2 linked regions of the Pelodiscus sinensis genome follow. The protein of the gene in region 1 interacts with the protein of each later gene in a pairwise test. Links are inferred from orthologs where the notes say so. Each region holds a gene or a part of one and is shown in the gene's direction. Other genes may lie near its edges.

What was found.
Region 2: the proteins of CASK (region 1) and TBR1 interact in a two-hybrid assay, tested with the Homo sapiens proteins (2 studies listed by BioGRID and IntAct). The link is inferred for Pelodiscus sinensis from reciprocal best matches to the Homo sapiens genes CASK and TBR1.

What each region holds. Positions count from the first base shown.
Region 1 is NC_134711.1:194,349,761-194,366,280, forward strand, and holds the start of CASK (peripheral plasma membrane protein CASK), read left to right. Parts: upstream 1-8,404; 5' UTR 8,405-8,961; coding exon 8,962-9,020; intron 9,021-9,408; exon of another isoform or gene 9,409-9,423; coding exon of another isoform or gene 9,424-9,443; intron 9,444-16,520. UniProt on the Homo sapiens protein: Multidomain scaffolding Mg(2+)-independent protein kinase that catalyzes the phosphotransfer from ATP to proteins such as NRXN1, and plays a role in synaptic transmembrane protein anchoring and ion channel trafficking.
Region 2 is NC_134717.1:34,219,588-34,235,662, forward strand, and holds the start of TBR1 (T-box brain protein 1), read left to right. Parts: upstream 1-9,642; 5' UTR 9,643-9,883; coding exon 9,884-10,575; intron 10,576-10,984; coding exon 10,985-11,139; intron 11,140-11,452; coding exon 11,453-11,574; intron 11,575-12,039; coding exon 12,040-12,198; intron 12,199-13,218; coding exon 13,219-13,280; intron 13,281-16,075. Other genes in the region: PSMD14 (26S proteasome non-ATPase regulatory subunit 14), read left to right, coding at 3,624-3,722. UniProt on the Homo sapiens protein: Transcriptional repressor involved in multiple aspects of cortical development, including neuronal migration, laminar and areal identity, and axonal projection.

The sequences.
Region 1 (16,520 bases):
CTGCTGAAACTGACCGCCAGTTCTGACTTACATACAGAATCAACTTAAGAACCCCAGGCGTCCCCAAGTCAGCTGCTGCTGAAACTGATCAGCAGCTGATTCCAGGAAGCCCGGGGCAGAGCAACTCTGCCTGGGGCTTCCTGTAGTCAGCGCTGGTCAGTTTCAGCAGAAGCTGACTTGGGGACACCTGGGGCAGAGCAGCTGGGGTGCTGCCGGGTTGGTCCAGTAGTGCCCAGAGCGGGCGCTGCAGGACCAATCGGCAGCGCCCCAGCTGCTCTGCCCCAGAGTCCAAAACAAAAGCCTGGTCTGCTGGGAGGGGGGGGAGCACACTAGCTGCGCCCCCCCCCCCCCCGCAGACCAGGGACACGGGGAGCAGAGCCGCAGCGGGGTGCTGCGCCTCTGAGGCTTTGCTCTGGCAAAGCCTCAGAGGCGAGGGACCCCGCCGCGGCTGCGGCTTCAGTCTGGGTGCCTGTGGTCTGCTGGGGACGGTCCCCAGCAGACCACAGGCTCCCGGACTGAACCCGCAGCCGCGGGGGGTTCCCGCGCCTCTGAGGCTTTGCCAGAGCAAAGCCTCAGAGGCGCGGGGAACCGCCGCTGCTGCCGCTTCAGTCTGGGTGCCTTCAGTCTGCCGCTTCAGTCTGGGTGCCTGTGGTCTGCTGGGGACCGTCCCCAGCAGACCACAGGCACCCAGACTGAAGCGGCAGCAGCGGCGGTTCCCCGCGCCTCTGAGGCTTTGCTCTGGCAAAGCCTCAGAAGCGCGGGAACCCGCCCGGTGCCCCTGGTCTGCTGGAGACGGTCTCCAGCAGACCAGGGGCACCGGAGCAGCTTACGAACGGGGCTTTCTCACCCCGACCTCTGGGGCGAGAAAGCCCCGTTCGTAAGTGCGGATCCGACATAAGTTGGATCCGCGTAAGTCGGGGACTGCCTGTACTGTTAAAGTCATGCTCCTATACCCAATGATAGCCCAGGAGGAGAGGAACAATTTTTAAAAATATGATTTTATAATAGCCAGCAACACACTAATATGTTAAAACAAATGTGAAATTAAGGTCCTGTAGACTAACAGTACATTTAAAAACTGACAGTATATACCTGTTAATTGGCTTCATTACCACTTGAATGTTCTGCTAATAAACTTGCTAGAAGGCTATTTCGCTTTTAAGTTAACTAGTTCATCTCTGGAAGAAGACTCATCAGACTCTAACAGCCACAGAACAGGAATAGGAAGAGGCAGATGGGTGGATATATGTCTAGACTACAGAGTTTTGAAAAAAAGTAGCCTTTTTTCAAAAAAAACGTTACCTGTGTCTAGACTGCTGTCGTGTTCTTTCGAAATTAAATCAAAAGAACGCAGCAGTTTTTTCGACTGCGGTAAACCTCATTTTATGAGAAAGAACTCCTTTTTTCGAAAGAGCCCTTTCAAAAAAAAGCATTCTTGAACACAAACAGGGCTTTTTCGAAAGAGAGCGTCCAGATAGCCTGGGTGCTCTCTTTCAAAAAAGCAGCTCGCTTTTTCGAAAGTCTTGTGGGTGTCTAGACGATCTCTTTCGAAAGAGGCCTTTTCAAAAAAGCTCTTTTGAAAAAGCCTCTTTCGAAAGAGGCTTGTAGTCTAGACATGCCCTAAGACATCCCATGCCTCAAATTTCTGGGTTCCTGAGACAACTTTGTATTCTTCATATAGGTAAGGATGGCCCTGTCCCCATCCTGAACTGGGGCAACTAGTCTATCTTAAATTTTCATGAACCAAAAATTTGAGGGGGAAAAATGTTGATTTGGGTCTTGAAACAGTTCATTTTTGGTTATGATTACTTATTTCAACCATTTATTCACAACTATAATTATCTTAAATTTGTAAACAAAATGTCATTTTGCACAGGAGAACCCACCTTTTTTTTTAAATGTTGAAATGGAAAGAGTGACTTCAAAAAATGGTCAAACTCCACACTTTCCTGTACATAGTTTTAGTAAAAATAAAAATTCATGATACATTGATACATGTATTAAATGAATTGCATGATTAGGTTGCTTGCAATACCTGTGGGTCACATCCAGTCCTACATAGGCCAAACTAGAAAGCTAACATCTGCTTCCTAATCCAGAGCTAGATTTATTTCTTTAATAGCTCACAAAAAGGCATTATAGTAAGAGACTCTGCCCCACTGCCCACTGAATAGACTTGTCATAATGTTGATGAGGAGACCTAGTCAGAAAATTATCCTGACCTATTTCTTTAGCTCCTGGTGATGCTGTGGAACCCATATTATCTCTCTCAGGCTTTCTCAAACTTCATTGCACCACAGCCTCCTTCTGACAAGAAAAAACGGGGATTGGAGCCTGAGCCCATCCAAACCTACCACTTTGGGCAGAGTTCCAAAGATGAAGCCCAAGGCTTTTTGCCCTCAGTGGAGAGGCCTGTAACCTGAGTCCTCCCATCTAGGGCTGAAGCCCTTGGTATTCCTGAGAGGCGCACATCAGGGTTTGGCTTCAACCTAAGGTCCCAGCAGGTCTAACGCCAGTTTGAGAACTGTTGATCTAATTTAATTCAGATGAGAACAAGACTTTCTGGACTTGCTGTATTAGAAGGCAGATCCACTGGCAATGCCAGTAGAAAAGGATCAGGAAAAACTGCATAAGCTTCTGGACATCTTTCACACTTCTGTGCTTGGATATCTTGCAGTGCCCATCAATGAGGGGGTGGAGAGCCAGCTAAGTCACTCTGGCAGATGTGTGGTTCTTTGACACAAACAGCAAAAACAGCTGATCATTGCTACAAAGTGCTTTTCCAGGGCCCTGAGCAATTTTTAAAGATGATTGGGTCACTGGTTGTACTGTGTAGACATAATCAACAGAAAGCTACACCTCAAGACAGGGAGCTCAAGAGCTAGATTTATATGACTGGGAGAAAAATTCTATGTCTAGTCATCAGTTAGTAATCCTTATTAGTTAAATATAATTGAAATTGGGATTTCATCTGTAAACTCATCAAAAGACTCAATATATCAGAGGCACTTCAAACCTTGATTTTCAAAGGTCAGCTTGAGGTTCATATATCCGGCAGGGGTTGGCAGCCCTCGGCACACGTGCCACAAGCAGCCCATAAGACGATTTTGATTAGCACGCGGGGTGGGAGCTTAGCTCCACTCCTCCTCCCATGGAGCAGGGAGCTCATGTTGCAGCTCCAGCCTCCTGCTGGAGGTTCATGCATGTCCTTGGGGCTGCCCCTGCCAGGCCTGGGTTTGCAGCACCTCAGAGCTAAGGGGTTAACCCCTCCTCCTGCACTACAGGCTTCTTGCTTCAGGAGAGGCGGGGCTGGGCCTGCTCTGCTGGTTGGCTGGTCACATGTGGCGTGCTGGGTCCAGGGTGCGCCATGCTGCTCCCAGCGGACTGTACGCGGGGTTGGGGAGCCCCTTCCCCAGTGCACTGTTGTGCCTGGCTAGGCTGAAGCCAGCCCTGGGCAGCCCCGGGCTCTGCTCACCCCAGTGCTGCTCCCAGGGGCTGTGAGTTCCAGCGTTGCTTGCCTGCTCATGAGTGTGCTGGGAGCACAACAATGTGGGGGCAGGAGGAGGGTGAAGGAAGATGTGGGGCAGGATGGGAGGGGGCAGGAATTACACTTAGGGGCATAGAGCAATGCAGGGGAGCAAGCTGGGGGTGGGCGGGACCAGAGGGCTGAGGGGTGCGAGGCTGGAGCAGAGGGAAGATGTGAGGGGGGAATACAATTGTACTTTGCAGAAGCTGCACTTTCCTTTATGCCCCACTTCTTTGCCTCTGTCCCCAACTAGCTATTTGGCTGCATTCTCACCCTCTCACCTTTTCTGCGTTACTCCCCCTCCTGCCTCCAAATTCCCTCTTGTATCCTCCACCCACATGCTCTCCTGCAGCCAAACTCCCTTCCAGACCCTGACATCCTCACTTTGTCCTGCACCACACCTCCCACCCAAATCCTGCATCCCTAACCCATCTGCTGGCAGCCCTGTTTCACACACTGAACCTCTCATTTTTGTTCCCATCCCAGAGCATAAGGGGCCCCACAAAATCCACTAACTCTGGAACCCCAGAAAAGTAAATCTTGCCTCTGGGAAACCCTGAACCTCAGTCCTCCCTGCCCCTTCCCCTCACCCTATGGGGCTGGAGCACCAGAGGAGTGAGGTGTGTCAGTTGGGGGCCACATCAGTGAGGGTTGGGGAAGAGTTTTTTTGTTTCTCACTTGTGTGGTCCACAACTGATTTTCCTGTGGGTCAGGGGCCCCCAACCCAGAAAAGGTTCCCCACCCTGCCATAAATAAAGAAACATTGAAACCTTTTGTATTGGACATAATATTCTACTTTATTTTAAATGAAATTTGATAAACTTACATGAGAAAGTTAAAATGCTTAATCTGTTTAATAATTTAAATTAAACTCTTCTCCACAGCTGCAGCACTAGCAAAATGGCTCGGGTGTAATTATGTAATTAATGGTGGGTTTTCATTAGCAACAGGTAGTCCAGGAAAGGTTTGCATTGACTAAGGTGGTCCACAGGGTGCACAGTGTAGACAACCCCTGCCCCGGGAGCATGGCACAGCCCAGGGCAGGAGGGTTAAACCTTGGCACACCACTTTGGAAAGGTTGCTGACCCCGATATATCCCTTCTTGTGGCCCTGGGTGCTGCTGAAAGTTTATAAAACCCTGGCAACCGTCATAAAGAAACCTCGCAGGTCCAGTTATCAGAGGCTACAAGTTACAACTGAAGTTTTTATTGTAAAGACAGATGATGCTTTACACTCTCAGACAAGATTGTGGTCCACAGTAGTCTACACAAAAGCAGAAACATTTTATGCTTCAACCACAATAGAGGAAGTCATTATACATCTGAACCATACAGAAAACATCAGAAATCTCAAAGGAGGAAATAATTTGTCTGTACACCATGTCTTCATGCCAGCCTCATCGTCAAGGTGGCAGGTAGAAGATTTGACACATTGGTCAAGAGCAGCATGCAAATTTTGCTGAGTCTCCTGTTATATCCCTTCCATTAGGCCCTAATGATTAGGGAATCATTTATTTCAGTTCTGTGGGATTTAGAACATCGCCACTATTGACCATGAGATGTTGGAAATCACAGAGGTGGGTTTTTTCATCCAAATCCTGATCTTCCCCATCCTGTAGGGGACCCCTCGGACAAAACCATGTTACATCAGGAAATGCAATCACCTTTAAATATTGAAGCAGTGGAAATAATACTGCAAGAACACAGGGAAGAGCGGTCCGTTGTCAAACATTACCATAAGTAGCCCTATGTCATTTTAGAGATTAACAGAGGCGCCTTGTGTGGTTTTGCCACAAAAACTCATGATAATATATATTTTGTTAGTCTCTAAAGTGACACAAGATTATTCATTGTTTTTAAAGTTCCAGACTACCTCCCTGAGACTTTTTAAATATTACCATGTCAGGCATACTGAGTCTAGCAAAAATCTGCTTCCCAGTCTAGGGGATTTACTGACTGTAGTTTCTTCTAGTAATCTTATCTCAGGGAAGTGAGGAAAAAAAGCCTAAAACAAGAACATATTTTTTTCCAGTGAATATAAACAAATCTATTCCTATTTTGTTCCTGGGTGTCAGTTTTTCCTGGGCTACCAACATGGGCTCTTTTGCTTGACTTGACCTATATTTTTGGCATATGTGACAAGTCTTAACAGCTTTCTTGGTTATGTCCCAGGTCGTCCTTGTAGATTTTTTGATTCTCAAATGACCTCAATGTATCTTTTTAAGCATATTTTTCTATCTTGATGCCTTAAACAAAATCTCATCTAGGACTGAGAACTCCTTCTTTAAATGATGACAGAAGGTGGAAATATGCATCCCGCCAGTCTATATGCTAATAGCCAAATTACTTTCTGTAGGATCTCTTCTTGAGCAGGAGCTCTGGCAAATTTTTTATGCATCCAAAAGCCCGGCATTTTTTTTTATGCATCTAAACTCCAATGGGAGTGTTAAGTGTGAAAGAAAAGCAGAGTCCGAGTCCCTATGGAGTGATTTTCATAGGTTCTTTCAAAATCAGTGTATAACTTTTATGAAGGTGTCCTGATTTTAAATTCTTATTTTACAATATTGCTACATAATTTTAATTCAGTGATGACATGTTTAAGATAATGGTAAAAAACATGGTCAAAATAAAGTTCAGCTTGTTTATTAGCCATAACTTTGTGTAACTTCACTGGTTTAAAAAAATGCTTAAGTTGATGGAGCATGGAAGAGATTTACTTCAATTTGTATAATTTAATCTAAAATGATCAACATAAAAATTGGGGACAGGAAAAATAAGAACATACCTTGGCTTTTAACTCTATTTAAAATATTAGACTAAACTGTTTACATGGGTATAGTTCATGGGGGAAAGGCAAAAAGGAATGGCAAGTACACAGCTTTAAAATAATGTTCCCTATTAAATAGGGGCACTTCACATGCAGAAGTTCCTCCTCCTCTTTTGATACTGCCAAACAGTCCCTATCAAGATTGTCTTTTAGCTCTGCCTTTTACAGATGCTTTTGAAGAGCAAAAATCTTTATTTTTCAATGCATTAGATCACACCAAACAGCAATGTCCAAACATGGGCTAGCTGCACTACATGGGGAGACCAGGCATGTGAGCAACATGACTGTAGGTGTTCGTCCTAGTTCATGCTGTTCTATAAAATCATCATCATCTATGGCTTAATCACAAATCAACCTCTGGATTTTTTGTGTGTGTGTGTGTGTGTGTGTGTGTGTGTGTGTGTGTGAGAGAGAGAGAGAGAGAGCGCGCGCGTGCAAGAGTGTGTGTGTGTGTGTGAGTGAGAGCGTGCAAGACTGTCCTAGCTGATTTGAAGCAAAATGCAGGACTAGGTAGCACTTTAAAGACTAACAAGATGGTTTATTAGATGATGAGCTTTTGTGGGCCAGACCCATGAAAGCTCATCATCTAATAAACCATCTTGTTAGTCTTTAAAGTGCTATCTAGTCCTGCATTTTGCTTCAGCTACCCCAGACTAACACAGCTACATTTCTATTACTAGCTGATTTGGTTCACTATGGAACAGGAGTGTTAAGGTGGTGATACAGACATCTCATTTGTATTGGACTTGAGAGGATTCTGACTTGCATTTGAGAAATGGAGTAGTAATACTCCACAGACTACCATGCTACATCTCATACTTCCAAGCCCAGTTGACTGAGTTATTTGATACAGTCTAGGAATTACTTAGGCTTCTTATTATGGGTTTATTGCTGATGTCTCCGGAACTGACTGGGAAACTCCTGACAAGCACCAGACCATGTCAGACATTTACTGTTTTAAGATGCAGAATAGGTCCACAATGTATTTTTCGCTGAGACTGAGAAAGTAAATATGTACACCTTTGTCACATTCTCACTAGCATTCTCTTTACATCAGAATATATTTCTGATACTATCAGTGTTATGCAGCCTGACACAGTTCTGTGCAGTTTATGGCTCCCTATCAGTGAAAAACAGCAAGCAAATGGTCTGGTAGCACTTTATAGACTAACAAACATGTAGATGGTATGATGAGCTTTCGTGGGCACAGCCCACTTCTTCAGATGATCAGTTCTTATCAGTGATCAATTCTTATCAACCATTCATATTTGGATGAAACCTGAGTTGGAGAGGTTGACTTTTCCCCTTTTATAACTAAAAGGGCTCCACTGTGCCCTGTTTTAGGGGAACGAGGTTCTATACATTCCTGCTGAAACTGCTGGCATGATTGTTACTAGAAACGATATTGACCAACTTGTGGACTGGGAAACGAATGGCGCTTTAAACGTTCATTTCACTGGACTACGAGCAAAGCATTTGACAAGCAAAGGCGAGAGGCGGGGCTGCCACCTTAAAAGCGACTGCACGTCGCTGTGAACCTCCTTGCCACCTGGCAGCAGTCATTGAGAGTGAGATTAGCAAGGTCTTCTCTCCTCTTCCCTTCGGGCTGTTCCCGCGGGACGCCGCCAGCACTTGCTGCACGGTCCGTCTGGCTGGCTGGCTGGCTACTTCCTCGCCCGGCCAAGCTGCGCCCGTCAAACCCCCGCGTCGGGCGGAGACACCCTACGGCAGCTGCTCCCCGCGCCGCTCTACTATCCCCGGGCGCTGAGCGCACGCGGCCGCTGCTGCCGACAAGCGCCTTGGTCCCACGGCGGGTTCTGGGCGCGGCCTCCCGGCCCTACGACTCCCCCCTCCCCGCTCCTCAATGAGCCACACAGCGCGCGCCTCCTGCCTCAGAAACTAGGCAGGGGGATGGCCCCGCCCCGAGCTTCACATGGGAACCCGCCTACCCCCTCCGCCCTGCTCGACCCCTCCCCATGACGTCATGTGGCACCGCGGCGCGCCTGCGCACAGCGCCCAGTCCCAGTTTTCCCGGGGGGATAGTGGGCGTGGCTCTGCGCGCGTTTGTGGCGAGGGAGGGAAGAAGGTGCCCGCGTGCTTGCTTGGTGGGGGGCGCGCGCGCGCGCGCCTGCTCTCTTGCGTGACGGGGCTGGGGAAGTGGCCGTGGTGGCGCGCGCGCCCGCCGGCCGGCCGGTAAAGCGCTTTATCGCCGCCGTTAGCCCCGGAGTGCGGCTCGGGGTCGCGCCTGCCTCCCCTTCCCCTCCCCCCCTCTCTCTCGCGCGCGCGCACCGCCTCCTCCGCTACCCGGCCCCTGCATGGTGCCCGCTCCGCCCCGCTAGCCGGATCCGCGGCCGGCGAAGGGCGGGAGGGAGCGAGCGAGCGATTGAAGCGGGCGGGGCCGCGGGAGCCCGGAGCCAGCGTGAGGCGCGCGGGGCGGCCGCGGCCCGCAGGAGGAGCGGGGATTCCCGGCGTGGCCGCGGGAGCCCCCGGGCGGCGGCGGCGGAGGCTGGGATCGAAGGTGGTGCCCGACGGGGAGCGCGGAGGGGATCGTGCCCGCGGGCCCCCCTCCCCCGGGCCGCCTCTCCGGCGGGTCCCCCCCCGCCTGGACCATGGCCGACGACGACGTGCTGTTCGAGGACGTGTACGAGCTCTGCGAGGTGATCGGCAAGTAAGTTCCGCGGAGGCGGGGGGCGGCGGCAGCAGCAGCGAGCGGCCCGGCCCCTGCGCGCGGGGAGAGGGATGCTCCGCTCGGCGCCCACCTGAGCCGCCGCCGCCGTGCCCGTGTGTCCCCCGCTCCCCCCGCTACGTGCGGCCGCAGTGGCTTCACGGCGGCGCCCGCCTCTCGGAGCATGGGCGCGGAGGGGAGCAGCGACCCGGTCTCTCTCCTCCGGCCGCCGCGCTCCCCGGCTCCCAGCCAGGCTGCCGAGAGCAGCCGCCGCTTTCCCCAGCCCGGCTCTGTGGAGCAGGGAAAGGCTCCTCCGTAGAACCGCCTCTCCGTGGGGGCATCTGCGCGTTGGGGCGCCAGGTGCCTGCTTGTGCTTTGCTGCATAGTAACCAGCTCGCTAGTGGCAATGCCGGTGATGATACTCAGGTAATGCTCAGCTCCCGTGTGAGCCCCTTGCGTTGCCCACCGCCCGCTCGGAACAACGACGCAGGAAAAGAATTTGGCCTTTTGGGGGCTTATTATGCAACTGCTGTTAAACCGATGTTGAAGGCGTGCATCACACCCAAGTTGGGATAGCTGTTAACGTGGCACCGCTGATGGTTCACCAGTGGGGTAGGATGTATTGAAATTGACAGTTCGAGTCCTCCACCTTTTTTTTTATCGATCTGTGTTGGGTAATTATACTAGAAAAAATGCAGAGACTCAGTCTGATCGGGACGTTGATGGAAAATTGAAGCTGAAGTTCCCCCTCTTCTGTGACAGTCCAGTATTGAAACCCATTTTATCAGTCTTCTCACATTTCATATCTTCAGGGCATAGATGTTTTGGTTGCAAAATGGATATGAAAAGGACATGCACCATATTTGCAGTCTTATAACTTCCTAATTTTATGCATATTTCTTGTTCGAAAATTGAGGTTGTAGGTGTTTCAGCAGTGAAACTGTTTTCATTTTGTTGCTCACTGTTTTTAGAAGCCTTGTGTAAGGATCACTAGTTACAATATATTCTTGATTTAAAAAAAAAGTGTTCTTTTATTTTTTTAATGTTTTGCAATATGACTTACCTTAAATGTCAGTAATTGTTTGATTTGAAAACTAGAGCTAAAATACTCATCTTTCTCCAATGACAGTGTAACTCTGAGGAAACAATCATGTCAGTCTTAAGATCAGATTTCTTTGTTCTTAACTACAAATATTTGATCACTTTTCATTTTATTGTTTATTATAGGGCTCAATTGTCTTAACAGCACCTATTGCCTTTATAAGACACCTTGTCAGCTATAAAGCTTTAAAGAAGCTTTTGTTGGATAGCAGAAAAAATGGCTTAACTAATGCTGATCAGATGGTAAAAAGCTATGGTTAAGAAATTGGACAAAACTAATACCAGTAGGAAGAACATTTTCTGATCATGTGTTGTGTTGTCACAAGATTTCTTCAGGTGATAGTATTGTGTGTGAATTGTAGTACTCATACATAGTTATGGGTAGTAAAAAGGGCATAACAGGCATAATATATGTGTCTAGTGGTTATAGCCAACACTGTAAAATGACTTATTTTGTGTGCAAATACATTATTTAAATTTTCTAAATAGTTTTCTGATTCATGTGGTCTGTAAACCAATGTTTTTGTGATGTAAGTGGGTTAATAGTGTTAAAAGTGACACAGCAATGTCACAAAAAATAGGTTGGATTGTCATGCTGTCAGGGATGCTAACTAGTTATGACTACTTATTTCTTTTTTGTAGAGGTCAGATATCATTGCTCTTAAAGACTATTTAAATAACTCCATTATTTGTATTATTGGCATTATTTTCACTTGAATAATATCTCAAATATACCTGTTGGGAGCTATAGTTGTAGTTTCTTACTTTGTTCTATCTCAGATGTGTGTAGTTTATTCATTTTCGAGCAATCTGAGGAAGGCTAGTGTAAAATTGATTTGTATTGCTGCATATGCATCTTGCTAAGCATGTTCCAATTAAACAGCAACTAAATGTCTGCACATTCCTGTGACTTATTACTGATTGCTACAGTAATTCAGCTCTTGCAAAATAGCATACCTGGCCTTGGCTTGCATTGAAGACACATGAAATATTGCTACCATTGCCATCTTATATAGGCTCCCTGTAAACATGTTTTTTCTCTGAAAAGGAGAATGGTAGTGTTCATGTATTACACAGCTTTGGAGGTTTAACAAATCTTAGACCTATATCCTTATATTTTTGAAATGTTCATCTGGAAACCCGGTTTAGCTTGGAGATTAAATCTCAGAGTAACATACACAAGTGCTCTTTGCTGTGTTTGTCGTCTTTTCAACTCTAGGTAAATAAAATTTTAATGAAAAAGTACACAGGTAAAATAAAATAAGCAATTCTTATCTGAACAGAGTAGTATTCTTAGTTGCTTAAACTGTTTGGATGTGTTGTATTGTAATCTCATACTAATTAACTGGTTGAAATCAAGGTTGTGATAATAAACAGCCAGAGAACAGTGAAGTAGTGTTTCCCATGCTTAAGTTCTGTTAATAGGCATGTAAGATGGATATTGGAGGAAAGGAATGTAAGGACAGTGAAGGAATAGATACACTTTTATGAATGTAATAGACTTCTTTATCACTAAAGTGAAACATGTATTACATAGAAAAAATAATCCGAACTATGAATTTTCTATACATTGTTAAACTTTTTCACCTTTCACATAAAATTCAGTGGTGTCCTTTAGGATGCCATTGGTTGTGTTACCATGCGAGTCCTACGTTAAGTCTTGAATTTGTTGACAACCTTGTGCACATCCATTTGTACTCTGAGTAGCGTGAAGAATTAGCAAGTACTCATGTGATCCTTCACATGATCAGTTATAGACAAATCTTTAAGTCTTGCTTTATTTGGAAGCAACTCTTCTTTGCTGTTGAGAGGGGCATATGCTATGTTTTCCTTCCATTAGTGAGACAATTAGTTAGATTTATAAATCAGAGATAATCATGCATTTTTAATTAAAAACCTTAATACTTAACATAGCATATAGTAGTTTGTGTACAATTTAACACGGGTGAAGAATTTTGCCATTAAAATAATTGAGCTCATTCTATACAATATGATACAGTGTTTGGAGGCCAATACAATGTGATACAGTGTTTGGAGGCCAAAAATAATATCTGGTTTCTTTTTAATGTGGAAGAGGGAACATGGGTATAGAACACACAAGATCAAAAAATGTATTTTATATTCAGTATTGTTTTCAGTCCTTGCTGGGTAAGGATTTTGTTTCAGCTTTGATTTTCTAGGCTTCTAAGGTTCACATTGATTTATGGCACTCATCTAATGGTAACATGGAGACTGTCTGATGTTCACAACAACATAGACTACAGGTTGCTTTCATAGACATCAGCGTAAGTAACTGCAGTCAGAATGCTTTAACTGTAAATATTTCAGTCTAATGCCTTACACTGCAGTAAATTCATATTAAATTTACATTGGCAAGATTAAAATATTATTTTTTAAAAAGCCCTCTTGTGTTACTAATGACTTTAACTATTCAGATCTGAGAATCTTTACATAACTCAGTTTAATGTCGCTTCATGTTTTCATTTTGTTTTTTACTTGCACTAGGCTGAGAACACTATTGCTGGCTTTCAGTATGCTTTCTGCTACTTATACTGGTATCTTTTAGTGTGTGAAACATAAAAAGGATGGTTTAAAAAAAAACCCCAATGGCATGTAATGACACTTTTTAAACAAAATTAAAGGAAATCTAAAACTGAACAATAAAAAAAGATCTAAAACAACTTCTCTTCCCCCAAATAAATCTAAGGTGCAAAAAAAGCAATTGCATCTTTCTGCCTATAATACTACTGTGCCAGTTCTGAGAACTGTTGCAGTATTGAATGATACTGTCACACTTGCAGCTATGTGAAAGGATTGGTAAAAGAAGATTCAGATATATGCTACTTTTCTAGCTTTGAGAAATGGCAAGATAGTTGATGTTTTGGAACAGGTACCAAGTATCATTCTTTATCTGATATCAGATAAAGCATTTACAGTGATCTTTTAGTATCTACTGTAATAGGATCCAATTTCAGAGCTGGTAAAAATGTAGGTCCTAGTCTGTGTTTTTGAGGAACTGATAAAGTGGCTGGGATTTTTGTAAGGTGTAGGAATGGTTTCATCACTCTGACTTTATCTTGAAATAATTTTGAGGAAGCAAGGTTTTGCCATGTTTGTAGGGGCTTTCTTTTAATTATTTCTGAACTTCTGTTTCTGCAATGTTTTACCTGTTTCTGCAATGTTTTACCTATCTTGTGCAACAGAGAAGATGTTTAAGATGAATGGGTCAGTTGTTTGAAATAGGTTTAAGCATATAAGGTCACAATAGTATATTTTTTCTTCAACAGAATCTAATTAGCTGAAGATTCTATTTGGCAGATACAAAACATTTGCTTAAATTCTTATAGTGGTGGTTTTATTTAAAACTTCACAATAGCCCTTTTTTTACTTGGTTTGACTTTTACACCTTGCAATTGTATTTCTGTTAGAGAATATTTAGCTGCATTATAGAATTACATTATAGTATGTTTATTTAATGCTGTGTCTGACGAGACAAGGAGAAGGTTAAGGAAAGATTTGATTACAGTCTGTAAGTATCTACGTGGACAGCAATTATTTGACGGGCTGCTCAGTCTAGCAAAGAAAGGTGTAACAGGATCCAATAGCTAGAAGCTGGGGCTCTTGAAATTCAGAATGGAAATAAGGCACACATTGTTAAGTGACAGTAATTAACCATTGGAACCAATTACCCAGCATCTTGGTGGATTCTCTATCATTGACAATTTTTAAATCAATGTTTTTAAAAAGAGATGCTATAGGAATTGTGGTGGGGAAGTTTTATAGCCTGTGTTATGCAGGAATTCAGACTAGATGATCAAAAGTCCATTCTGGCCTTGACTCCTAAGAACCTACATATTTGAAATGGTACTTATTAAACAGCATCTTTTCCCAGCCATTAGACTCCTTTCCATATTGTAGAAAGCATTCCTTTTTCAGACTTTCTCCTTGTTACGGCAAAGGACAAAATAGTAGTACAAAAAAGGTGCATTGTATTTTGTCCTTAACCAAAAGCTCTAAAAGTTGTTCATGACTTTTATAGTCTAATAATCTTTCATGTAGAGTTCATGATACAAGTGAAAGGCAATCAGTCTATAGTAATCCTAATATAGTCTGTAGCAAAGGTCACTTCTTAATATTCAGTAGTCATTATTCAAGCATTAACTTTGAAAAATATTTTCCTTTTAATCTTTTTTTATTTAACAACTTATAAATTGTTCTGCTATTATTGGTATTCTTAAACCATATGTACATTGTATGTGTAGTTAACGATTATTCCAATTAGAATTACAACTTGGTTTTTCCTTTTTAAGATGAATTTTGGTACTCTATTTAAAATCCACAAACTGATATTGTCCTCAAAATTGATAGGCCAGGTTTGAGGTGAAAGTAGGTATTTTGTGCCATACGTTCAAATCATTTAAATAATCTTTTTAATCTTGATAGACTACTACATATTGGACTATTGTCAATTTGTAGCAAACCCCACTTTTCTCTTCTTCTCTTTCCTGCTCAGCTACATGAATTATTGCAGAAGGTCAAAGATTAGTTTATTTGATTTATAGAACAATAGCATGAAAATGGCTTGTAGACCCTCAAGGCCTTAAGTTAAGTCATCAGAAGATTGCTGGAGATCTACAATTTGAAATAAATAAAAATAAAGCATTTTTCATTACAGATATAAATGTCTGCCTTTGCAAAACTTCCTTCAGGATCTTTTCAGTCAGGAACGGGAATGTAAAAATCAAGGTTTTTTCCAGAGGGTCTACAGAAATTTTAAATTTACATGGTCAGACTTTTGTGGTTGATAGTCACCAAATTACAAACAAATTCTTCCATTCTCAAACTTGCAAAAAGATAATTAGCTTTAGGGATGTTAAATATCGGTTAATTGAATAGTCAAGTAACCTCCCGAAATTATCGGTTAGTCAATTATTCTATAGTCCCTGAGGTTGGGTCCGGACAGCTCTCTGTCAGAGGCAGCAGTGCGGGGTGCCGGGTGGGAGCTAGTTTGCAAGGGGAGCCAGTTTAAAAATCAGCTCCCCCCACGAACCAGCTGCCTGTCGCCCTGTACTATTGCTTCTGAGAAGGTGGCAGCAGTCCCTGTCTTGGGTGGGAAGGGGAGTCTGAGCTCCCAGACTCCGCATGAGCTAGGACTGAGCTGGTTTGCCTGCCTTCCCAGCTCTTTCTACACTTTAAGTGCAGAGCTGCAGCAGGTGTAGGTTCTGAACCCATCGCAAGCCGGGACTGAGCCAGGCTGCTGGCCAGCCTGCTAAAAAATGTACTAACTGAGAGGGAAATGTGTGTAGTCTATAGCCGTGGTTACCAACCCGTCCATCGCAGTCAACTGGTTGATCGGGGGGCTCGACCAGTCGATCATGAGGCCATTTCTCCCAACCCCCAAGAAGAAGCCCCCGCTTACAGTAGCTCCAGCGACAATGGAGGTGGTGCCAGCTTCCTGCGGGGTAGAGGGGGAAGTCCCACAGCTGTGTGCCACGTCCGGGGTTTCCAGAAGTGCACGGGCTGCTCCTTCCTCTCCCAAACAGCTGGCGTGTTTCCTGAAATGTCAGATCTGTCGTGCGCCGGCAATTTCCTTCCCCTGTTGCCTTTCTGCACCGGGGGTGGAGGGGTGGGATAGGAGTCCCAGGACCGCGCCAGCTCCAACTGCTCAGGAAGTGTGCGGTTGCCGTGGGGAATGGAGGAGCAGGGCGTGTGCGCTTCCTGAGCAGTTGGAGCTGGCGCGATCCCAGAACTCCTCCTCCTCTCCCCACCTCCTGCGCAGAAAGGCAACAGGGGGAAGGAAATCACAGGCGTGTGACAGACGCGGCTCTTCAGGAAACGCACCGGCTGTTTGGGGAGGGGAAAACAGTGCATGTTCCTGAGACCTGGACATTGCACGCAGCTGCAGGATCCCCAGGTACTGGCCCCAGCTGTCCCTGTCCCCTCCCCTGGCCAGATTTCCTGCCTCCCCCGGAGTACCCTGTCCCCTGCTCCCACCAGCACCCTGTCCCTTGCCCCCACCAGCACAATTGAGCCAACATTAGTGAGGGTTGGGGGGTTTTGGAGGGGTTGGTTTTTTGCATCTCATTTGTGTGGCCCCAACTAATATTGTTGTGGGTCAGTGACCCCTGACTCAAAACAGGTTCCCTGCTCCTCTCATAAATAAAGAAAATGCTGACACCTTTTGTGTTTGACATAATATTTTATTTAAAAATGAAACCTGGCCAACAAGCCCTCAATTGGGGCCAAGCCCCCATCTGGCTGCAGCATCATAACACTCCTGCACCCCTTCCCCCCCGGACTCCAGATCTGAGCCTATTATACACTGGAACCCCCTGCCCTGAGCCTCTCACATCCCCAAACTCCCTGCACTCCCACAACACACTTGCACCATCCACACACTGC
Region 2 (16,075 bases), on another chromosome or scaffold:
ACATAATTTAAATAGGTCCTTAAAAAAAACAAAAAACATAAGAACTGCCATACCAAGTCAGACCAAAAGTCCATCTAGCCCAGTATTCTGTCATTTGACAGTGTTCTATGCTAGATGCCCCAAAGGGAGTGAGCAGAACAGGAAATCATCAAGTGATCTCTCTCCTGTCATCCATTTCCAGCCCCTGGCAGAGTCTAGGGACACCATTCCTGTCCATCTTGGCTAATAAGTATTGATGGACCTATCCCTCCCTGAATTTATCTAGTTCTTTTTTTAACCCTGTTAAAGTCCTAGTCTTCACAGTAGCCTCTTGCAAGGAGTTCCACAGGTTGACTCTGTGCTGTGTGAAGAAAAACTTCCTTTTGTTTCTTTTAAACTTCCTACCTATTAATTTCATTTGGTGACCCCCTAGTTCTTATGTTATGGGAACAAGTAAACAAATTTACTTATTCACTTTCTCTATACCTGTCATGATTTTATAGACTTCTCTCATATCCCCCTTATTCTCCCCTTTTTTCTAAACTGAAAAGTCCCAGTCTTTTTTAATCTCTCTTCATATGGTACCCATTCCAAACCCTTAATAATTTTTGTTGCCCTTTTCTGAATCTTTTTTCCCAGTGCCAAGATATCTATCTTGAGATGAGGTGACCACATCTGTATGCAGTACAGGCAGTCCCCGGGTTACATACAAGATAGGGACTGTAGGTTTGTTCTTAAGTTGAATTTGTATGTAAGTCGGAACTGGTACATATTGTACCCCAGGTATCCCCGATTCAGCCACTGCTGAAACTGACCAGCAGCTGACTACCGGAAGCCCGAGGCAGAGCTGCTTTGCCCTGGGCTTCCTGGAATCAGCCGCTGGTCAGTTTCAGCAGCAGCTGACTTGGGGACGCCTGGGGTAGAGCAGCTGGGGTGCTGCCAGGTTGGTCCCCGCAGCGCCGAGGTGTGACGCTGCGGGGACCAACCAGGCAGCGCCCCAGCTGCTCTGTCCCAGGCGTCCAGATTCAGTCGCTGCTGAAACTGACCAGCAGTGAGAAAAGCCTGGTCTGCTGGGGGGGGGGGGGGGCACTAGCCTCGCCCTCCCCCCCCCCCCCCCCCCCCAGCAGACCAGGCTTTTCTCACCGCAGAGGACGGGGGCGGCGGGACCGCGGCACATCTCGGCGGTTCCACTGCCCGCGTCCTCCACGGTGAGAAAAGCTGCTCCGCGTCTCCCTGGTCTTAAGAACGGGGTAAGGGAACCCCAACTAGCTGTGGCCCCCTCCCCCCAGCAGACTGCCAATATGCACCACGGTGGTCCCGCCGCCTGCGTCCTCCGCGGCGAGAAAAGCCGCTCCGTGTCTCCCTGGTCTGCTGGGGGGGGATCCGACATAAGTCGGATCCACATAACCCGGGGACTGCCTGTATTCAAGATGGATTTATATATAGGCAATATGATATTTTCTGCGTATTATCTATCCCTTTTTTAAAGAGTCCTAACATTGTTTCCTTTTTTTGACTGCTGCTGCACACTGAGTGGATGTTTTCAGAGAACTATCCACAATGACTCCAAGATCTCTCTTGAGTGGTTATAACTAAATTAGTCCCTATCATTCTGTTTATATCAGTGTTTCTTAAACTTTTTAAGACCGAGGAACCCCAAATAAATTTTTATATGAGGAACACCAAGGATTTTTGGTTGAGCAAAACAACACAAAAAAAATCTGGGGAAAAGGGTCAAGGGGAAGTTGAGGGGGGGAAAAAAAGTCGCCTACCCCTGTAAAGGCAGCCATTTTGAATTCTTTTGTTCTCTGCGGCACACTGGTGTGCCACGTAACACAGTTTAAGAAACACTGGGATATATAGTTGGGATTTTTTTTTCCAATGTGCATTACCTTACATTTATCAACATTACATTTCATTTGCCATTTTGATGCCCAATCACCTAGTTTTGTAAGATGCTTTAAGCTCTCCAGTCTGCTTTGGTCTTAACTATATTGAGCAGTTTAGTATCATCTGCAACTTTTGCCACCTCACTGTTTATCCCTTTCTCCAGTTCACTTATAAATAGTTAAATAAGATTGGTCCCAGTATGGACCCTTTGGGAACACCACTAGTTACCTCTCTCCATTCTGAAAACTAACCATTTATTCCTACCCTTTGTTTCCTGTCTTTTTTAACCTGTTATCAATCCACGAGCAGACCTTCCCTCTTATCCAATTACCGTAATTTAGCTAATATAACCCACAGGTTTTATTCGTTTTTACAACCCCGCCTCCCCCCTGCTGCAGGGTATACTCGGATGTGGGGTACAGGCAGTCCCTGGGTTACGTACAAGATAGGGACTGTAGGTTTGTTCTTAAGTTGAATTTGTACTTAAGTCGGAACTGGCATCCAGATTCAGTCGCTGCTGAAACTGACCAGCGGCTGACTACAGGAAGCCCGAGGCAGAGTTTCTCTGCCCCGGGCTTCCTGGAATCAGCCGCTGATCAGTTTCAACAGCAGCTGAATCTGGATGCCTGGGACGGAGCAGCTGGGGCGCTGCCGGGTAGGTCCCCGCAGCATGTTCTGTTTAGCTCTGGTTGAGTTTATGGAATAATAGTCAGAGGTAATGCCGCGGTGGGGGAGAGGGATTTTTAGCGTGACACACATGCCCTCCCCTGAACCATTGTGCATGCCACCAGAAACTTTAAAATGTGTCCCCCTACTATGAACAGTTAAGTGTAATCTCTGATGATAAATTTAACACACACAGAGCAATCTGCAGGTTTTGCAGTCAGATCTACAGCAGTGTTTGATTAGTTTAGTTTTTTTATTGACCTAGCTTCTAAAATGTAAAGCAGCTAAAATACTGAATGTGATATTCTGGCCCCACTGAAGTCAAGGAAGAGTTCTATCATTGACTTCATTGAAGACAGGATTTCACTTGGCTGTGTCTACACTGGTGCACCCTTGCGCAAAAGCGGCTGCTCTTGTGCAAAAACCTGCTGCCTGTCTACACTGGCCGCGTGTTCTTGAGCAAGTAAAGTGACGTTCTAATGTATGAAATCAGGGCTTCTTATGCCAGAACTCTGATGTTCCTGCTCAGGAATAAGCCCTTTTGAGCAACTGTTCTTGCGCAAGAGGCCAGTGTAGACAGGCACCATGAATTTCTTGCACAAGAAAGCCCTATGGTTAAAATGGCCATCAGAGCTTTCTTGAGCAAGAGAGCATCTACACTGGCATGGATGCTCTTGTGCAAAAGCACATCTTGCGGAAAAGCACATGCCAATGTAGATGCTCTTTTCTGGAAGAGTTTTTGCAGAAGAACTCTTCCGCAAAAGAGTTTTTGCGTGAGAACGCGCCAGTGTAGATGTAGCGTTTATGTATGGAATTGTATAAAAACACGTGCTATTATATATCCTTCCAGAATATGAAGAACACTTATTTATTAACGTGTACACATTTCTGAGTAGTATTGAGAGCTACAGGGTTTTTAGAAATTCAGAGTCAAAACTACATGTATCTTGAAGGAAGGAAAACTTGGGGGCTTAAATAGGCTGTCAGTGTCCATTAACTCACTGTTTTCTCAAATAGTTGAAATCTTCTCTGAAGTGTTCGTGTTTTAGTGATTCCTCTAACCTACATTAATATTTATTTATTTTCAGGACCCCAAACGTCATTTAGAAGAACATGTGGATGTGCTGATGACCTCAAATATTGTTCAGTGTTTAGCAGCTATGTTGGATACAGTTGTATTTAAATAATAAATTTACTGTTAGTGTGGTGCTTTCTGTGTATATTCTTCTATTGTTTCTAACACGTGGAAACTAGAGACTGCTGAAGGTATATTTGGTTAAATGGAAGACATCTGGCATCATTTGCAGTCTAAGAGCAGCACTATAACACCTTTCAGTCTCTGTTGTGCAATTACTTCTGTTTCTTTGTCAGGGTCTTTGCAGATTCCAAAGCAGTTCAAGAACAGAGAGTGGGCAAAATGTATTACGTTTTCATTTAATATTTGGGGGAAAATCAGTAGTACATATATATTTTGATTGTTGCTACATAATAAAAATACATTTACAGTCTATCTGGTTTACGATTTTTTTTGTCAATATTGTACACAGAATGGACAACCATTGTAGAGTACTCATGCAGGTAAAGCTGATTTGCTTTGCATTTTTAAATTTAAAGTGAAACATTGAGCTAAGAAAACAACAAATGAAATATGACTTCCATTAATCACTGAGGTATTCTAGAAAAACATACATTTTTCATGTCAAAGTTCAAACACTATTGCCATATAGATGTCAGAACTCCATTCAAAGCAAATGCTTATGAAAATGACAAGCTGATGCACTGATGCTCATCACACCTCCAGCCTCCTTAACTTAGGCAAGTCCATCTCCAAATAGCTGATAGCAAACAACCTGAGAATATTTTCTGAAAGGATTGCATTGCTTGAAGAGTAGAATACAGAGGAAAAACTCTCCTTGCAAATAGTGATGAAATATGAGATCAATTTCTATTGAGTGTCACAATAGTGAGGTCAGAGTCTCTCCTCCTCCCACTTCAATCTGAGTAAAGATGGGAGCACTCACTCAAAGATGTGTGAGTTTCCTAGTTAATAAAGCCAAGCTGGTGGCTTTCAGTAAGACACAGCTGCAAAAGCTTCTCAGTTCTTTAGCATAATAATGTATCCCTCTTACATCTTTGTTCGCACATGGTATTCTTTTTAACTAGTGAAATCATGTTTTAAGAAATGTAAATGAAAATTCATAGGTTCAGGCAGATGATGCCGTTTAAGTCCTGTTAAATGCAGATCTTAAATACAAAGCTTCAGAAGTGATTCATGTGACTTCTTGTATCAAAGAAATAACCCCATAAGGTTCTGCCTCACTGTGCCACTTTCTTTATGCAGTAAATATTCTATACAGGGCAAGAAGTACTTGTGGTAATCAGCTTGTTCCATTATCATCCAGACTTTTTTGATTAGGCAACTCTTATATTTAGGTCTTTAACTTAAAATTATTTGCATAGAGGACTACCATTCAAGGCAACTAGAATTTTCTACCATAATTCTTGCTACAAAGAACCATGGATTGGTGTATAAAGTTGAGAGGGTATGTGGGAATGAAGATCTATCTTGCAGTGGGAAAATGAGGATAGCTGAAAGGGAACAGACATGATGAGTGTCGCATGTCCGCTGTAGCCTGTATTTGTCCCTAGCATCCTGCTTTGTAACACCCAACAGGTGGAACTGAATCTGGGGACTCTGGAGCTTAGTGCAGGAACCTCTCAAGCTTGTAATCAGCTTGACTCAATTTTTCTTTTACAAACTCCCAAAAGGCATCTGTCATTTTCTAGTTTTTACTTTTCCTGCAATTTAGGAGCTTCATGGGAAAGGGAATGTGTGGCAGTTTGGGGGAGCTGGTGCGCATGGTGATAAGGGACCAAAGTATTATCTTGGAGGGAGTAAGGGAAGATTTTGAGGTAGCCTCTTAAACCCCAGCAGAGCACAGCTTCATTAGGAGCTGAGCTAGATGGGTAGTTTGATTCTCTCTCACATGCATTCACGTCCCCTACTGCCTCCCAAAGACAGTTCCTCAGCACCTGCCACTGCATATCTGCACTGATTATCCCAATTTAGGAACTATGTGGGTTAACAAAGTGAAATGTTACCATTTCTGAATGATTCCCAATTTGCAACAAAATGAAATGCAGTTGCCATGTAAAATGATGTACTCTACTGAATAAATTAGCTTCAATGTGCTAAATTGTACAACCCTTCCCACTGTTTCATCTAGTCTTTATCCCATCTCCTGATCTTCCAGTAATACAATTTCATAGTGGAGCACATGGTACTAGTAAAACAAGTAAGCACCAGAAACTATTAGGGTGTTAAATACTGGTTAATTGAATAGTCTAGTAACCTCATGAGTTCTTATCGGTTAGTTGACTATTGTATAGTCCCTGGGAGTGGGGCTGGCTCCTAATATGCTTTAAATGCAGAGCCATAGTGAGCATAGGTCCTGGACCCATTGCCAGCCAGGACTGAGCTGGGCTGCTGGCCAGCCTGCTAAAAAATTTACTGGGTGGGCAGGGCGGAGGGGTGGGAGGAAATGCATGTAGTCTATAGCATTAACCTATAAGCTTTTGCTCATCAGTTAATTGACTACACCTTTACATCCCTAGCAACTACAGCTGGTTGGCATGAAATATTGCTTCTCACAGAATTAGATCTATATTATGCTAACAATGAGTCTGTATGGCAGATACCTAAATTCTATTGGTTTAGTAATACATGAGTAAGTCATGAATGACTTCATTAGAAGTATTTACTTAAAGATATGATATGACAGCTTCCATTCTAAAACATGGTTTTATTGAATAAACTAGATCCCAATAGACTACCTCAACTGTCTCTGCTCACAATTTTGTACTTAAGTTAGGGAACCAAAAATTGAAACTCATTACTGAATGCTTCATTTCTATCTGTCTACTAACTAATGTAGCTGTTGGCTTGGTTTCTCTAGTGTTAAAAACTCTTGATACATGATGACTGTCGTATATTTTTTCCTGGGGGGGGGGGGGAGGGAGAGAGAGAAATACCTAAATACTTCCCCCACCCCACTCTTCCTCTTTTACTGTCTTCCTCTGCCTAAACTTACCTGGTGCTTCTAATTTCAGCTTCCCTCCCCTCTCTCTGATGTTACTATTAAATATACTCTTGTGAAGTGTGGGGAAAGAGATTCACCAATAGTGGTAGACCTGGAAAACAGCAATCATGTGGCTTGAGACAAAATGCAAGATGCTGAAGCTGATTATATAAAGAACTATTAAGTTCACAGAAAAAACACTTGTTGCTTCTCCAGCCTATTTGCAACAATATTATGTATGCTTTCAGATGAAAAGATTTTCAAGTTGGTGCCCTTTTAAAAGGAAATATTAAAATAGATCTTTAAAGAATCTTTATTAGATTCATATAGTCCAAAGCCAGAAGACACCACTGTGCTCATCTAGTCTGGCCTCCTTCATGGGTATAGAATTTCCACCAAATAATTTGTAGAGTATATTTCAGGAAAACATTTGGTCTAGATTTAAAGATTCACTTTTCACTTTACAAAGTAAAACAGATTTGCTGAATACCCATAAGTTCCTCCGAGAGGAATTATGAGATCACCTTTTTCTGGTTTAAAAGTACACCTTTTGTGGTCTAGGTGCAAAAACTATTCCCCAGTACTTTGTCTAAGGGCCTCTTGGTTCCAATCCCAATATAAATTTAATTCATTTTCATGAAGATTCAGCTCAGTTTCAAATGGAGGAAAGCAATGCAGGCTTGCATTGTGATCTAGTCTGCAGTGTGTATCCATGAAAAACCACACTCAGAATAAAGATCTTGGTGTAAACATCACCAACTTGAGCTTCAATCACTCCTGGGCTACAAGAAGCTCTGTCAAGCTTAGTGGTGTGATTACCTTAAGCTAGAAGTTCTGCAGTCAGGTTAGCACCACATACCCAGAAGACTAAGGCTTAGTGCTTGGGAGAAGAAATCTCCCTCCCTGCTTGTCTCTCTCCTAGGGTGATAAGATGTCCTAAAATTATTGGGACCATTCCTTATATTAAAGGCTTTGTCTTCTATATGTAACTATATACCTCTTGTCCATCTCTCCCTCCACCCACACCAAAAAAAGTTTCCTGACATTTCACACCTGCTATCTGATCACCTACCTGCTCCCTGTGGGAATATTCCATCTTAGAGGTACCTCTTAGAGCGTAAATGGATGGCAGAAGACAAATTGCTTGATCATGGTCTCCTGTTATCTTCATGGGGGGGAGGGGACAAACAAGGCCCCTGCCCAACATTGCAGTGCAGCCTGTGGCTGACACCTGAGCTGCAAACACCTGGGTTTGCTGAGCTTATCCCCGCCAACAAACCACATCTAGTTAAACAGGAAAGCGGAGACCAACTATACAAGCAACAGACACCCCCTTGCTTCTCTGTAGTTATTGCCTCCTGAGTGCATGGCCTGGACAGAGCAGCTGGCTCAATCCCACCAACTGGGGTGGGCTGTGGCCCAGCATCCCTCTCCACCCCTCCCCCAGGGGTTCCTGCTAGAGACATCTGGTGGGGAAACCAAGCCCATAGTTCCTACCAGGAGCCATGTGACATGCCAGTGATGGCCCCCTCATTCCCTCTCTGCCCCCTGCCTCTATAACACCAACAGGTGGAACTGAATCTGGGGGCCCTGGAGCTTAGTGCAGGAACCACTACAGCTTGAGCTAAAAGCCAGCTGGCTCTCAGCTACAGCCCTGGGACAAACTCCCTTTCTCTCTGTATGTGGTGTAAGTGCCATTACATGGGACAGTGACTCACATCCAGTAGGTGTGTGGGTCACACCTCTGCTTGTGCGTCTTCACACACCAGCCCACAACTGTGGAGTCTGTGGGGATACACAACGGGTATCTGTGTCCACCTCTGCATAAAGGGGGCTGTGCTGGCTGGCTCTCAATGGACATCTGCACATTTGCATGGTTCTAGATCCAAAACTTGTGTCTCCATCCACATCCCTGTCCACAGAAAGGAGCCCTGGAGCGTTGCAGCCACTCCCCAGATAGAAGGTGCGTGTCCCTGGATCTGCAGAGCGCTAGCAGGAGAGCCCCGCTCTGCCACCAGAGGAGGGAAGCGGCTTAAGCGAGCTCGGGGCAATGGGGCCTCCCTATTCGCCGGGCCGAGCGGCGCTGTTCCAGCTGCGGAAGCCGCGGCCCTGCAGCGCTCTCCGCCGGATAGGTGGAGTGGCCCGGGCCTGGGCCACCGCGCGCCTCTCCCAGTAGGTGTCAGCCTCGTGTAATAACAGCGGGGTCTGGGACGCAGCCCCTCGCGCCGCCCTGAATCGACAGGAGCCCTCGCGACACTGCAATGTGCTTCTGTGAATCGAGCGCAGCGCTTGTGACAAATCTCTCACAAAGGAGCCCTCGCTCCAGTCCCCGCGCCCTGCCTTGCCGAGCGTCTCCCGCACGCCAGCCCGCCGATCAAATATGCAGTGACCGGAGAAGCAGTACACATGCCTGCAAATGCATTAGGGCTCTTCAGCTGTGCGGCTTATCATTATTTCACAACTTAAAGGAGACGATGCATTGCCGCTGTGTACATATGCTGCCTGAATGGAGTTTCAGGGGCGTTTTGTTTTTCCAGCGCAGCAGTTCCCTTTGGAGGGAGGGAGTTACATGGAGAGGGTGGGGGAGGGGGACTATCTTTATGAAGGATTTCGGCCCGTTATTGGGCACTGCATATTAGACGGGGAAGCCACATTCTGGAACTTCCAAGGTGAAATCAGGCCTCCAGTTTGTACGATGAAATCGTTACATTCAGAGCGAATGCTGACACCTGGGCTCATTCTGACCCCTAAACTCCCCAGCATCTCCTCTCTTCCCTTCTTCACAAAAAGGAAAAAAATTAGGAAATCGTAGGTCCTTGGGTTTTTTTTTCTATCCTTAGTCAGAAAGCTCGAAAGGTCACACGGTAATGAGCACTCACAGCAAACACACTGTCTCCCCCCACCATTCCCTTCTATCCCACAATAAAATCATCTCCTTCAATTTGCCATGATCGTCGCGACCAGGAGCCAGGTGATTATCCTAATTAATGTCTATCTAATTAAATTACTGTCAGCGGTTAACCAATGGCAGGAGCCGTTTCATCCGCTCCACAAGCAGCAAGATCAAAAGTGAGTCTTTCCTTATTGCTGCATAGTGTCAATTGGCCAATCTCTTCTCCCAGGGAAAAAAAAAAGTAAATCAAACGTTGGGGAAGCGTTTGGTGGGAGAAATGCTTTCTGCCTCGGGAGGGTCCCAGGATGTCTAGTTTATGTTAAGAGGAGCCCTTTAGAACCAGAGACTGAAGGGTTATTGTATTGGTGCTAGAGCTATGCAGCTGGAGCATTGTCTTTCTCCCTCTATCATGCTCTCCAAGAAATTTCTCAATGTGAGCAGCAGTTATCCACATGCAGGCGGATCTGAGCTTGCCTTGCATGATCATCCCATTATCTCGACCACTGACAACCTGGAGAGAAGTTCACCTCTGAAAAAAATTACCAGGGGGATGACGAATCAGTCAGATACAGACAATTTTCCTGACTCCAAGGACACACCAGGGGACGTCCAGAGAAATAAACTCTCTCCCGTCTTGGACGGGGTCTCGGAGCTTCGTCACAGTTTCGATGGATCTGCTGCAGATCGCTATCTGCTCTCTCAGTCCAGCCAGCCCCAGTCCGCTGCCGCTGCTCCCAGTACCATGTTCCCTTACCCCAGCCAGCATGGACCCGCTCACCCAGCCTTTTCCATCGCCAGTCCAAGCCGCTACATGGCTCACCATCCTGTGATCACCAATGGAGCTTACAACAGCCTCCTGTCCAACTCTTCTCCACAAGGTTACCCTACGGCAGGCTACCCTTACCCCCAGCAGTACGGCCATTCCTACCAAGGGGCGCCTTTCTACCAGTTCTCCTCCACCCAGCCGGGGCTGGTGCCCGGCAAAGCTCAGGTCTACCTGTGCAACAGGCCACTCTGGCTGAAATTTCACCGGCACCAGACAGAGATGATCATCACCAAACAAGGGAGGTAAGCGGCACACGCTGCTGCGGCTGCCCGGAGCGCTTGGACTCGGGTGGTGGGGCTGGGACTCCGAACTCTACCCTGCGGAGACTTTTGAGGGGGGCGACCTGCGCTAGATATTCGGGGTGACTGACGATCGAGCCCCCCAAGCCCATCGTGAAAATGGGGAGCTGGACGGGGTAGGTCACAGGGGGCGCCTGCTAGGATGGCTCGTGATGTGCTTGCACAAGGTGTCTGGAGATGGGGTGCAGGTGCCCACCTGGCCAGCAGTCCCTGCAGGGAAAGCCCCCAAAGCGGCTCCCGTCTCCTTTTGTCCTCATCCCTTTTTCAGGCAGCCCTTATGTTCTCTTATGTGACTTGTGGTTCTCGGCTTAACGCGGTGCTGGTGGGGTTTGTGTGTGTTTTCTTTTCACAGGCGCATGTTCCCTTTCCTAAGTTTTAATATTTCTGGTCTGGATCCCACGGCTCATTACAATATTTTTGTGGATGTAATTCTGGCCGATCCCAACCACTGGAGATTTCAAGGAGGCAAATGGGTTCCTTGCGGCAAGGCGGACACCAATGTACAAGGCAAGTTATTCCAATTAACACTTTTCCCGACACATATTTAGGTGAGAATGGTTAATTAAAGCCTTTGTGGACTGGCTCGGGCGACTTCTTAAACGAGAATGGGCCAACGATGCTTAAAAAAATAAGAAGAGGGAGGGGGAGTGAAGGGTGTTCAGAAAATGCTATTTTAATCCTCCCCGGTTAAAACGAAGGGAGCATCGCCGGTAAAGCGCTGCTAAGTTTAATGCGAATCATGGAAACCTTGTGCGTGCTGCTACAGTTGCAGGAAGCCGGGTGTGTGTAATAATCGTGGCGCATTTATTTGTTTCTTTAGGAAACCGAGTGTACATGCACCCCGATTCCCCCAACACTGGAGCCCACTGGATGCGTCAGGAAATCTCTTTTGGGAAATTAAAACTTACAAACAATAAAGGAGCCTCAAACAACAACGGGCAGGTCAGTGAAACTCACACACGCTCTTTATTTGTTGCTTCCAATAAAACCCTGAAAATTCAAATCAGACCCTTAAGTTAAATCAGACTGCTGGTGTGAAACATACTAGTTTCTGTTCCTTAGAATTGTACATGATTTCCGAGGAAGAAAACAAAATCCTGCAACAAAACCCAGACCAGGCTCAGGAGTGGGGTTTATGTATATGGGAGGTGAGGGCATGAATACAGGCGTTCTGAAGTGAGGTGAATCTGTAGCTATGCTGCTAAAAAGGGACTAGGTGAGGTCTTAGGGGATGCATTTTGCCTTCGTTGTTGAGTCAGTGCAACCTCTCTGACAGCTCGGCCACGGCTTGTTATTCAAACGCTTTCCCAAGGAAAAATACCGGGAAATATCCGCCTTTTTCTCCCTCTCCTCGCTCCAGTGTAGCTTCTGAGCCCCTTTGTCCCCCTCCCTTTCTATGCCTGACAGATGGTGGTCTTGCAGTCCTTACACAAGTACCAGCCCCGTTTGCATGTGGTGGAGGTGAACGAAGACGGGACGGAGGATACTAACCAGCCGGGCCGAGTGCAGACTTTCACCTTCCCGGAGACTCAGTTCATAGCTGTCACCGCCTACCAGAACACCGATGTAAAGAGCTTGGCGCTGTATTTCACTCGCGGCCATCCTCACCCACAACCGGCCAGCAGCGCTTTGCTCTGTGCAGGTGCCCGCAAAACGAGAGGCAGCTAGACGCCGTGCAGAGAGCTGGCCGGCATATGATTGAATCAGGCCGGTTCCTTTTTGTCCCCCGGCAGAATCCATGTGGCCAGGACCTAGATGTGTACCCCTGAAGTTGTAATTCTGTACCTTTGGCTAAAACTGTCAAGAATTGTGAGCCCCAATCGGAGCACGAGCAAACGTGTGGCTCACATTGCTGTATCTTTTCACTGAACCTGGCTAGTCTCACGAATACGCACAAGTCTGGCGTGAGGACTACAGAGTGAATATTTCATAGGGGCGCAATAGCCATCAGTTTCCACTGTGAACATCTTAGGAAGCCGAGCGGAAACCGGGTCGGCATGTATTATATTAACACTAGAGTGTATTTGCCAATAGTTGTTTTCATTGAAAAGCGCACATTTAATTTGATGGGATTTTTAGCAAGTTTGTAAAGAGCCACTGATGCTGCTGACTGTGTTGGGGGTGATGGAACGTTTTAATCTGAATAAAATCCTGTTAATGTGTAGTCAGATATTTTTCTCTCTCTCTTTAAATGGCATGCATTAAAAGTCGTTGTGTTCTGTTTTTGAATAAGACAAGTGTAGATACAATAATCTCTTAAATATAATATAAACAACTTAAAATATTCATTATTTCTTATCCTACATTTAAACTTTAATTGAGAACAATTACATTTAAAAACAGACTGAATCAAAATTATTTCACCTTTTTGTCAGTAACTGGAAGATCGATCATATTAACCAAAACCTTTATGAATAGGCTAAGCTTAATTTTTATATTTTGAAGAGCGGCAATTGAAGTAACTAATGAAAAAAGATTGACCAGTCCCACTTTAAAAATGTGCCTGAAGTACTTTGTCAATTGTCATGCTTTCATCATTTATTGGTGCGAAAAAAATAGTAATTGATCCTCTGTTTTCTTTCCCAGATTACACAATTGAAAATAGATCACAACCCTTTTGCAAAAGGCTTTCGAGACAATTATGATACGTAAGTAAATTGTATTTTATTATCCATCTTATCGGATGCGCCCACGTAGAGTGGTAGAGACTCTATTTGGTTTAGTATTTGGGGTTGGATTAAAAATCTCCCTAATTATTTAAACATTGAAATATTAGGTATTAAGCTTTAAAAAGTTCTCCCAGATAAGAGAAAGCAAACGCAGGCTTCTAAAGTCGGGACTGGATTTCGGTAACTTACTAAAAATGAAATTCATTTTTGTCGCTAGAATTTTTCTTGAAAAACTTTCGAATTAATTTGAACGCATGTGTTACTAAGAGGCAAAGCTGGAAGAGGCTGGCTAGCACATTCAATACAGCCTTGTGCATTCTGGGGCCAGATGCTCTTCTCACCCCCTCTGCCTGCATCTGAGGCTACGTGTGACTTTGGCAGTTGTGATGTTCTTTCTGGCATATGACTTTGTGCCCGTTCTCGAGTTCCCGTTTATTCAGGCTGTGTATGTAGGCTAGGAAATAAGGACCACTTATGGGAGCTAAATTACTGAATATAACCGACTCTTGAAATCATTCAGGATCCTATACCGAAAGTTTTAAAGAAAAATTCTTCTATTTCTCACTATCTCGCTTTTCTTTTGGTTTTTATTTTGCTACTCCTATATATCGATAGTTATATATAATGGGAAATGTTTTCGTAGAAAGAAAAAAAATCCATAGGATATGTTATTAATGTATCCAAAATCATCCTAAACATATCGGACATGCATATTGGTCTAATCTTTGAGCGAATGATGGGATGTTTTGTAACTTGTCACTTGACTTTAGGGGTTTGCCCCCTCCTGCTCCTTTTCGGGAATTTAATAGAACATCCCAAAATATTGTACTCTGCTCAATGGTCCCTGTTAGGAAGGTTTGGAATAGATAGACTATTTAAGAGTACCCCCGCTGAAGTGCTACTTCTGAGTACTTCCCTCTACCTCCCAACACAGTGGAGTGAAAGCAAAAGCAAAAATGAGGCTAATGCCATCCCACACTCCCCTCCCATTATTGTGACTATAGAGCAATAAAATCAACAAACTGCTCTAGCACTTGCGTCTATAAGTGAGAAACATCCAGAGAGTGAGTGGGAAGGGCCCGTAACCCAATGCTACTCGAAGACCTGGTGGGAGATGGGGAACTCAAACATCTCGGGAAAGCGCACGGGTTTTGCGCCCCTGATTTTGCCTGAGCGCCTATTAAATGGGAACAGAGTGGGATGACCACCTGCCAGGGTTGGGCTCTCTGTTTAGGGGATTTTTTTCTTTTTTTCTTTCTGAGTAAGAGAAGCGTATTTGTGTTTTAAGGAGATGGAAACAGCCCCCACAGATAAAGCCATCTCCGGATCCCAATGGAGTTTGTAAATTTGCCGTCTAGTAAGGCCCACACTGAAAAATGCACTACAATATGTGCTTAATTTTAAGCAGTTGCTTAAGTCCATCCCTATTCAGCAAACCAGTTAAACCCCATTAAAATAACGAGATGTATACACATACATAAAACTAGGCAAGTGCTTAAATGCTTTTCTTAACCCGGGCCTAAAACTGGGATCAAGCCCCAGAGCGATCGCTTTGCTTAAATGTAAAGTAGCTGATTGTTGCTCAGATTTATTCTTATTTGGGAAATATAATTGTAGCTCATTCACACCCTTTTCCCCAAATGTAAGGCAATGTGCAACAAGTGACCGGAGGGAAAACACCGGGGTTCTGGTGATTTGGATAAGAGCCTCAAAGGAGAAGTAACCTCACTATCTGAGCATACAAAATAGGTCATTGATGCAATGCAGAAGAGAGGACGTGGTCTGTGTAATTTAAATAAGATTTTTCTACATATAGGATAGGCCATAGATGAAAACCCGTCTGGACTTCTCCAACCACAAAATGTCTCTGCTTTCTTTTCTTTTACATTATAAATTTCACATGTATGTCACTTTAAAAAGAGCTTAAATGCTGTCTAGCACATGGCATTTGTTTAAGGGCCAACTGTGTTCTGGGTAAGTAATTTCAGGAGGCGTGGAGGGTTAATTAAAGCACAGTTTTAGCCTGAATGAAATGCACACACTAACTGTTCATCCATTAGGCTATATTGGGAAAAAAATGGGCGCATCTGCTTTTAAAATTCCTTAAGTAGGTGTTTGAAGATTAGCTGAATTTAAATTCAGTAAAATCCTGTTAGTTGGTTTATGACTTGAACAGAAATGTCAAACCGCAGAGATAAATTTTCAGTCTGCCATTCATGCTGTTTTGCTAGAAATGGACAAGGTTACCTGTTGCGCATATTATGGGACTGGTCAATTTTCAACAATGTAGGATTTCCCAAGGTCCCAGAAAAGGTGGCAACATCCACGAAGGTGGGATGTTAGCTGACCTGTAGATATTAAATGAATACAAACAAGAAACGTCAGTCTTGAAGTCACGACCCTACTAAATATAAACGTGAGAGCAAACTCGTTTTCAGTTTGTGTTGGCCTATTTTTTTAAGACACATGTAAAATGTGAGATCCGCTTTGCGAATGGCAGGTGTAAAATCACCTGATTTTGTAACTCTTCTGTCCTCAAATAGCCTCCCCAGTATTCAGTATCACGAGGAGCCAGAAGTGGAGGGATGTCCACCTGGTCAATTGGTTTCTTTACATCCCTGACCGGCCCCGCTTCTGCCCCGGTGTTTCTGGGCATTGCATTTTAGGGGTGTCTCTAAGGGTGACCCGGGTCGCCGCCGCTCCGTCCCGAGCCGTTCTTCCCCTGCCTTGGCTTCTTGAGCCAGGGAGCAAGCGCCGGGAGAGCCCTGGTCCCG